Linked DNA regions of Canis lupus familiaris. The protein of the gene in region 1 interacts with the protein of each later gene in a biochemical or structural test. Links are inferred from orthologs where the notes say so. Each region holds a gene or a part of one and is shown on either strand. Other genes may lie near its edges.

Evidence for each region.
Region 2: the proteins of SEMA4D (region 1) and CD72 form a complex in vitro, tested with the Homo sapiens proteins (2 studies listed by BioGRID and IntAct). The link is inferred for Canis lupus familiaris from reciprocal best matches to the Homo sapiens genes SEMA4D and CD72.

The regions. Positions count from the first base shown.
Region 1 is NC_049222.1:97,582,674-97,585,530, forward strand, and holds part of SEMA4D (semaphorin-4D), read left to right. Parts: intron 1-1,486; coding exon 1,487-1,659; intron 1,660-1,738; coding exon 1,739-1,782; intron 1,783-2,547; coding exon 2,548-2,857. UniProt on the Homo sapiens protein: Cell surface receptor for PLXNB1 and PLXNB2 that plays an important role in cell-cell signaling. Regulates GABAergic synapse development. Promotes the development of inhibitory synapses in a PLXNB1-dependent manner.
Region 2 is NC_049232.1:52,471,014-52,475,282, forward strand, and holds the start of CD72 (B-cell differentiation antigen CD72), read right to left. Parts: upstream 3,007-4,269; 5' UTR 2,857-3,006; coding exon 2,775-2,856; intron 2,689-2,774; coding exon 2,581-2,688; intron 1,922-2,580; coding exon 1,850-1,921; intron 1,304-1,849; coding exon 1,214-1,303; intron 670-1,213; coding exon 334-669; intron 1-333. UniProt on the Homo sapiens protein: Co-receptor of B cell receptor (BCR) that plays both positive and negative roles on B-cell functions. Recognizes the Sm/ribonucleoprotein (RNP) self-antigen ligand, and coligation of CD72 and BCR inhibits BCR signaling.

The DNA.
Region 1 (2,857 bases):
TGAGCGAGGACAGTGCTGGCCAGCGAGGCCGGGCAGGGGTGAGGCCCCAGTGCCCATGGGCAGACATACTGTGAAGCCGTGGACCTGCACTCCACCCTATGGTGACGGATGCTTGCTCGTGGGGGAGACCTCAAGGCTGCTGGGTGTCAGTCCCTCCTGCCCACGGGCTTCTGCACCTGCCAATGGTCTCAGCCACCCCCCGCCACTGTTTGCCTGTTTCCTTCTCTCAGAATCTGTTACTCCGTGGCTCTGGGTCACGGAAGCCCAGCCCTGGGGACGGGGGTGCAGGGACATGAGCGCCCCATCCCCCCATGCCCACAGCCACACACTCAGGTCTGGTGTCAGCTGGGGCTTCCGGGCAGTCTGTGCCCTCCAGGGTCCCTCAAGGTTGCCTGCTTGGCCTTCCCAGGAACCCTCTCCTCTGCAAGCCACGTGACCCCGAGAGGGGTCTGGGGTGGCATCCTCAGTCCTTTCAGCAACCATGTGGCCTCCTCTGCCTGGGCCCCACCAACAGGGATGGGCTAGCCCCCAGGCCTGGCTCTCTCTGCCCCTTCTGACCAGAGGACAGTCTGCTGTGGAGGGGACTTCTTGGCTATACTCACACAGGGTGCGTCACAGGCCAGGAGCGCCAGCTGGACGCTGCTGTTAATTCCCTGTCTCCCCCCGGGGAAGGCTGCAACTCGTTTGGGTCTGAAACACTGACTTCTGCTGGGTTCTGTTAACCCTGAGGTTAACCAGAAGATCTGTGTGGGGTCGGGGGAGACGGGCTCACCGGCGGAGGAGACCGTGGACACACATGCAGAATTGCAGCCCTGCAGCATGGCTGTGCCAGGAGGGGTCCCCGCTGTGTCCAGGGGAGCAATTAGCCACCTGGGGGGCCTGGCTCTCTGAGGGGCCAGCCGTCAGCCTCCCTGTCTGCGTGCTCCTCCCTCGCAAACCTGGCTGGTCCCTTAATCCTCGTGCTGGAGTTCTGCATGTCCCCCACCACTCTCTGGCGCCTCCTTTCCTGGCCCCGCTGGATTCGGACACTACTGGGCTGTCCGTGCACAGCTGCTCAAGCCAGGCAGGCCTGGGATTGGGCTCCGAGTTGTACCCTTTGGCCTCTGTCCTGTCGCGGGGCCAGGAGTGTCCCACTGGAGGAGCCCCATCCACACAGAGGAGCTGACCCCCAGCCCTAGTGGGGCAGAGACACGTCCACACTGGCACCCAGACGGGAGGGCTGGGGGGTTCTGGGGGGGCCTGTGACCAAGGCCCCGAGTGCCGAGTTAGCGAGGACTCTGCTGAAGAGCACGCGGCCTCTGCGGGCTTGAGGTGCTGCTGTTGGGATTGGCCTTGGAGTAGCCCGGCTGAGCTCCGGTTCTGGAAGCTCCTGGATGAGGGATCGCGGGAACGTGCTTGCCACAGCCGGCGAGGTGGAGAAGCACCTGCCACCAAGCGCATGAATGCCACCCCTCATGCGCCTGTCCCCTCTGTCTCCCCCGTGCAGGGCAAGAGATTTGTGTACGCGGGTTCCAGCTCGGGTGTGGTGCAGGCCCCCGTGGCCTTCTGCGGGAAGCACGGGAGCTGCGAGGACTGCGTGCTGGCCCGCGACCCCTACTGCGCCTGGAGCCGTGCCGCCGAGGCCTGCGTGGACCTGCACCGGACAGACAGCCCCAGCAGGTACCGGGGGCGCGCGTGCCGGCCACCCGCCCTGCCCGCGGGGAAGGCGCGTGAGTGACCGTGCCCGCTTGCCTTGCAGGACTTTGGTTCAGCAGATGAGCGGTGACACGTCCGTCTGCCCCAGTAAGTGGCCCCTCCTCGCTGTGCTGCTCGGGGGCGGCCGGGTCTCGTGATCGTGTCGTGGTGCTGTGCTGTTGTGGCATCTCGTACATTCTTTTTTCCTTTCTCTACTTGGAACAGAGGGCACGTATCCATGAGGATACAGAGGCCGACCCCGCCAGCCCCTCTGGTTGCAGCCACGTAGTGCGTTCACTGGAAGGTGCTCGGCGTCCAACCTGTGACATCCAGTCTTGAGACGCTCCTCTCTCCCGCTTAGCTTGGGGCTGCTGACACAACCCTGAGGGTCCCGGGAGGGGCAGCGGGAGGCGTCCTCGTCCCCTCGGCGATGCCCCTGCCGGCCGGGGGGTCAGGCACATCCCTTGGTCTCCTGGAAGGCAGCCGTGCCCTGGGCTGTCACGCTCCTGATGTGGACTCGACAGCGGGGCAGCCTCAGGAGGATGCTGGGCCACTGAGAGTCCACGGGCCCCGGAGCCGTTGGCAGGAGCGCGGCGTGTGACTCCGCGTGTCGCCGCACGGCCTCGCAGGGCACCAGATGGGATCTCTGTACCCGGTTGCTCCCGAGTTCCTCATCCCCTGGGGCTGCCATCTGGGGCTCATCTCTGCTCTTCTGTCACGCATGTCTTTATCTCCTTAGTTGTTCTGGAAGATTCTGTGTTGCTCTAGTGGGTGAAACTCTTGTGTTCTCTTGTGCGTGTTGACCTATCTTTGAAAGAAGGGAAGTAGCGGGCCGGGTTGTTGACACTGTGCACGTTTATTTTGGTGTTCCAGATGAAACTAAAAGTTTCCGGGAGCATTTTTTCAAGCACGGCGGCACAGCAGAACTGAAATGCTCCCAAAAGTCGAACCTGGCCCGGGTGGTGTGGACGTTCCGGGACCGCGTACTCAAGGCCCAGACCCCCAAGTATGGCCTGGTGGGCAGGAGAGACTTGCTCATCTTCGACCTGTCAGAGGGAGACAGCGGGGTGTACCAGTGCCTGTCGGAGGAGAGAGTCAGGAACAGGACGGTCCTGCAGCTGCTGGCCAAGCACGTTCTGGAAGTCAGGGTGGTTCCTAGGACCCCGGCTGCCTCCACCCCACC
Region 2 (4,269 bases), on another chromosome or scaffold:
CCAATTTCACAACCCAATTCAGGGGCTTCTCAGATCTTTGACACTGATATCAAGCCATGGGAGACCTGAGTTTGGTGCTTTGGACAGTGTGATCTGCATTGTTGGCTGCCACCCTCCTCCCTCCTGCAGGATCTGCCTTAGAGTTAGGTGAGTCACCCTAAATCTGGAATGCACCTTGATCCTCCTCTCTGTTGGCCACCACTCTCATTTGCTATCCCTTTCCTCAACAACCCAATGGCTCCCTGCCAGATAGACCCCTGCCAGGAGTGTCTCTTCACTTCAATCCATCCCTCACAGCAGACCCTCCCATCTCTCCTCTCCCGGAGCAGATACCTGATAAGGGGCATCTGAATAAGAGCTTCAGTGTGTCCTGAAAGCTGCTCAGCCTCTGCTCCAAGGTCTTCCTTTGCTCCTCCTCACTTTGCAAGGCCTCCTTTGTCTTCTCCCTCTCAGACTGGCAGGCCTGTAACTGCTCTTGGGTGGCCTGGCAAACCCTCTGTTCCTCCTGTAGTGCTTCCTGACTCTGGGCTAGTTCCCTCCTGGACCCCTGTAGATCCTCTTCCCTCTTCCCCAACTGGGTTATCTTCAGGTGGAGCTGCTGCCTTAGGCTGCTGTTAGTGGTTTCCAGAACCCTGTTGGTCTGCTGGAGCTGCTGAGAAACCTGCAGATCTGTTCGGCCATAATGAGAGATTTGAAGAACATCTTCTTCAGCTATGCCCTGGTACCCTGACTCTTCAGCGTCAGTCCTTTTTCTGCTTCTTTTTTTTTTTTTAAAGATTTATTTATTTATTTATTCATGATAGACACAGAGATTGAGAGAGAGGCAGAGACACAGGAGGAGGGAGAAGCAGGCTCCACGCCGGGAGCCCGAGGCAGGACTCGATCCCAGGACTCCAGGATCGCGCCCTGGGCCAAAGGCAGGCACCAAACCGCTGAGTAACCCAGGGATCCCCGTTTTTCTGCTTCTTGCAAATTTTTGCATAACAGGCTGAAATGTAAGATCTGACTGCCTAAAGCTTAAGGAGGTACTGGGTTAGGTAAGGACAATTTAGGAAGACATGGCACTCTAAAACAGACCTGGCTGGAAACCAGACAAAAAGCTAAGCATGTAGTGGTAGTGACTGGGCCCTGCCCAGAGGAAGGGCAGCTGTTGGGGAGAGTAGGGGAGAATATTGCTCAGGGTACATGGGCAGTGGGGGACAGTCATACTCACAGTGCACTCCCAGGCAGATGGTGGCCACCCCCAACAGCAGGCAGGTGAGGAGCAGGCCAAGAAAGAGGTACTGCATACAGGCTGCACGGCCTTAGGGAGACAGTGGGATGAAGGGCAGAGAGCCCCAGGAAAGTTTGTAGGCTGCGGGGCTGGGTGAGTGGGGATATTCACGGGAAAGAGTATCCCTCAGAGGACTGGTGCTGGTATGGTGGGGTTCGTCGGGTCGTGAGTTTCCGCAGGTAGCGGAAGGAAGGTGTTCCAGAATAAGGGCTGGAATCGTTACTGGTAAGGATTGAGGAGCGATACCTGGTGGGATGGGAACAAATCCCAGACGGGGACAGAGGACAGGGGGTATGTGCACGGGGACACCGTAAAGGGGGAGGAGGGAAGATCTGGGTCAACCTGGGGGAATGATACACACGGGTATGGGGGTGAAGGGGCGGGGAGGGGGCCTCGGGGCTGCCCGCCGCGCCCAGAGCGCTGCTCCCCGAGCTCACTCCCGGGAGCCGACCCGCGCACCGCCGGGCCCGGCACCGGCCCAGGCCAGCCCCCCCGCCGCGCGACCCTCGCCGCCCCCCTGCGCTGCCCCGCCCTGCAGCCGGGGGCGCGCGCCGGCGGGGAGGGCCCGCGACTCACCCGCGAGGAGCCGCCCGGCAGCCGGTGACGTCACGGAGCCCCAGGACGCAGTTGGCTGCTCTGCCTGGAGCCCTGCGGACCCGCGGCGACTTGAGTTCGAAGTCGGGAAGCCCCGGGAAATTCCCCTTCTTCCCACCAGCTCCCCCTCTCCCCTTCCCCGGCGCCCCCCCCCCCCCCCCGCCCCGTCCCCAGTCCGGTCCCGGACGCCTTCGGCGACGTCTGTGATGCTCGGGGACACCCTTAGCACTCTCCGGAGTCCCGCATCTCCCCCAGGACTCCTGTCTCTCCTGGGTCTTACTGCATCCGCTCTCCCGGGACCCCCTCCTTTCCCTCCTGGGTCTCCCCTTAGGTTTCTTTCAGCACTGCCCGCATCCGCGTTTCCCAACCGTCTCCCCAGAAGTGCTCTCATCCCTCTCCCCTACCCTTTCTCTGTCCCGTGACTTCCCGTTTCCCATCCGAATTCATCTCCTCACAGGGGCTGCCCCAATCTCTCCCCGCAGCCCCTGTCACCCCTTTGGGATCTCCACCTTGGCCCTGGGCTCTTTATTCTTCCCTGGCTCCCATTTATCCACGGGTCATTCTTCTCTCTCCTAAGCACCCCCTCCTTTCCCAGGGATATTGTGCCGCCCCCCCACCCCCACCCCAAGGATACCTGGACTCCCAGCTCAAGACACAGACACACGCTCACACAGCCCGCCCGGTCACACACACATTCTCTGGGCTCTCCGTACCTGCTTTGTCTCCTACTCCAGAAGAAGCCAAACTCAAGGGCCCACCTGAGACTGAGGACACTTGTACATTCTCATAGGTAAGCTCCTCATCCTCATCAGTCCCTGGGTCTGAAGAGAGAAATGGTGGAGGTGAGGGTGGGGTCATGAGGGAGCCTGGGGATGCGGAATCAAGGAGATGCCTTGCCCACCCTTACCCTGTCCTAACTGGCTGGAGATGCTTTTCTTCAGGGGAGCCTTCACGAACCGCAGGTCTGCATAGGTGATGGCCTCAGCCATTGCCCTGAGCAACCCGGCTCCCACCCGTCTACCCTTTCTTCCACCAGCCCCAGAGCTTCCCACTCTCCCCTCTGTCCCTTCACACTCGGAGGCTCTGTCTTCCTTCTGTGACTGCACAGCTTAGTGCTTTACCCTCTGACTTCCAGTTGCAAAAGAGGAAGATGTCAGCAAGTGTCAGACACAGATGGGTTCAATGAAGCATATGGCATCCTTGAGCCTCTGCCAGAGGGACAGGGGATGGGAAACTGAAGTCCAGAACATGGGGTTGCAGCATGGAGGTGTCACTGGATCACTATTCAGGCCCATCCCTGTGTCCTGCCTGTGCTCCCCCTTCATGCACCCCAGACCCGCTTTGGCAGCGCTGGGCTCTAAATACTTGTCCTCCTGGTCATCTACCCTGATTTGCCCTATGCTGCTCTGTCCATGGGCTTATCTATGTGTTGTCAGAGCTCTTTGGTGCCTGACTAAACCCAGAGGATCTCCCCAGTCATTGCTGCAGAGTGGAGCTCCAGCCTCCACATCATATTGGAGGGGTCCTAGTGTGGAGCCCTTGCTCCTCATCATCCTGGGGTTCCCAGCAGGTATGGGTTCCCAGAAAGGGGCCCTCGATTTGGTGGAGCTCATTTCCCTATCAGTTTGGAGGCTGGTGGGCGGGGGGAGACCCTCCCACTCCTGCTGTTGTCCTGCAGATGCTAAGGATCTCACACATAGGGAGGCTCTCACTCCAAAGCCCTTCCTGAGAATGTGGCAGGCCTTTGGAGGATGCAGAGGAGCTAGGACCACACAGTTTCTCTTCTACAAACTCCCCTAGATTCCCTCTTCACAGCCTTTCCCTGGCCTTGTCCACCCTTGTTCCCTACCCATCACACCGTTGGCCAGTCAGTCCCTTCCTCATCCCATCCTACCCCATGCTGGACTCAGGGCATCCTGTGTCCCAACATCTGAGCTAGATGCAGTGAGCTGAGTCCAGGAGGCACAGGCTTGGGGATAGGCCCGGGCTGGGGGTAAGGATGAGGGACAGCCCCTAGCTCATGCACCTTTGGAAAAGCCTGCAGCACTGACCCCTTATGCACCCTTGTGGGGACCCGGGGGGCAGGTGAACAAAGGAGTTGGGTGGGGATGAGAGGGCAGCAGCTGCTTAGACAGAATGGAGGCAAGGAAACAACAGGGCTGGGTGCTGAGCACACAGACACTGGATTTGAGGCTTTGATATTTTCTTGGTCTGGATTTGGTTGTTTTCTTTTTTTTACTTTCCTAGTAAAGTTCTTTCCTTATAAAGCCTTAACATTGTGCCCTTACACCCAGCCCCGAGGGCAAAGGGGGTATTTGTGGGAGAAGAGTCAGGGCTAGGAGGCCCTCGTGGCTGGTGAAGGCCTGGCTGACAGAAGGGAGGAGGAGGGAGGACTGTTGAGC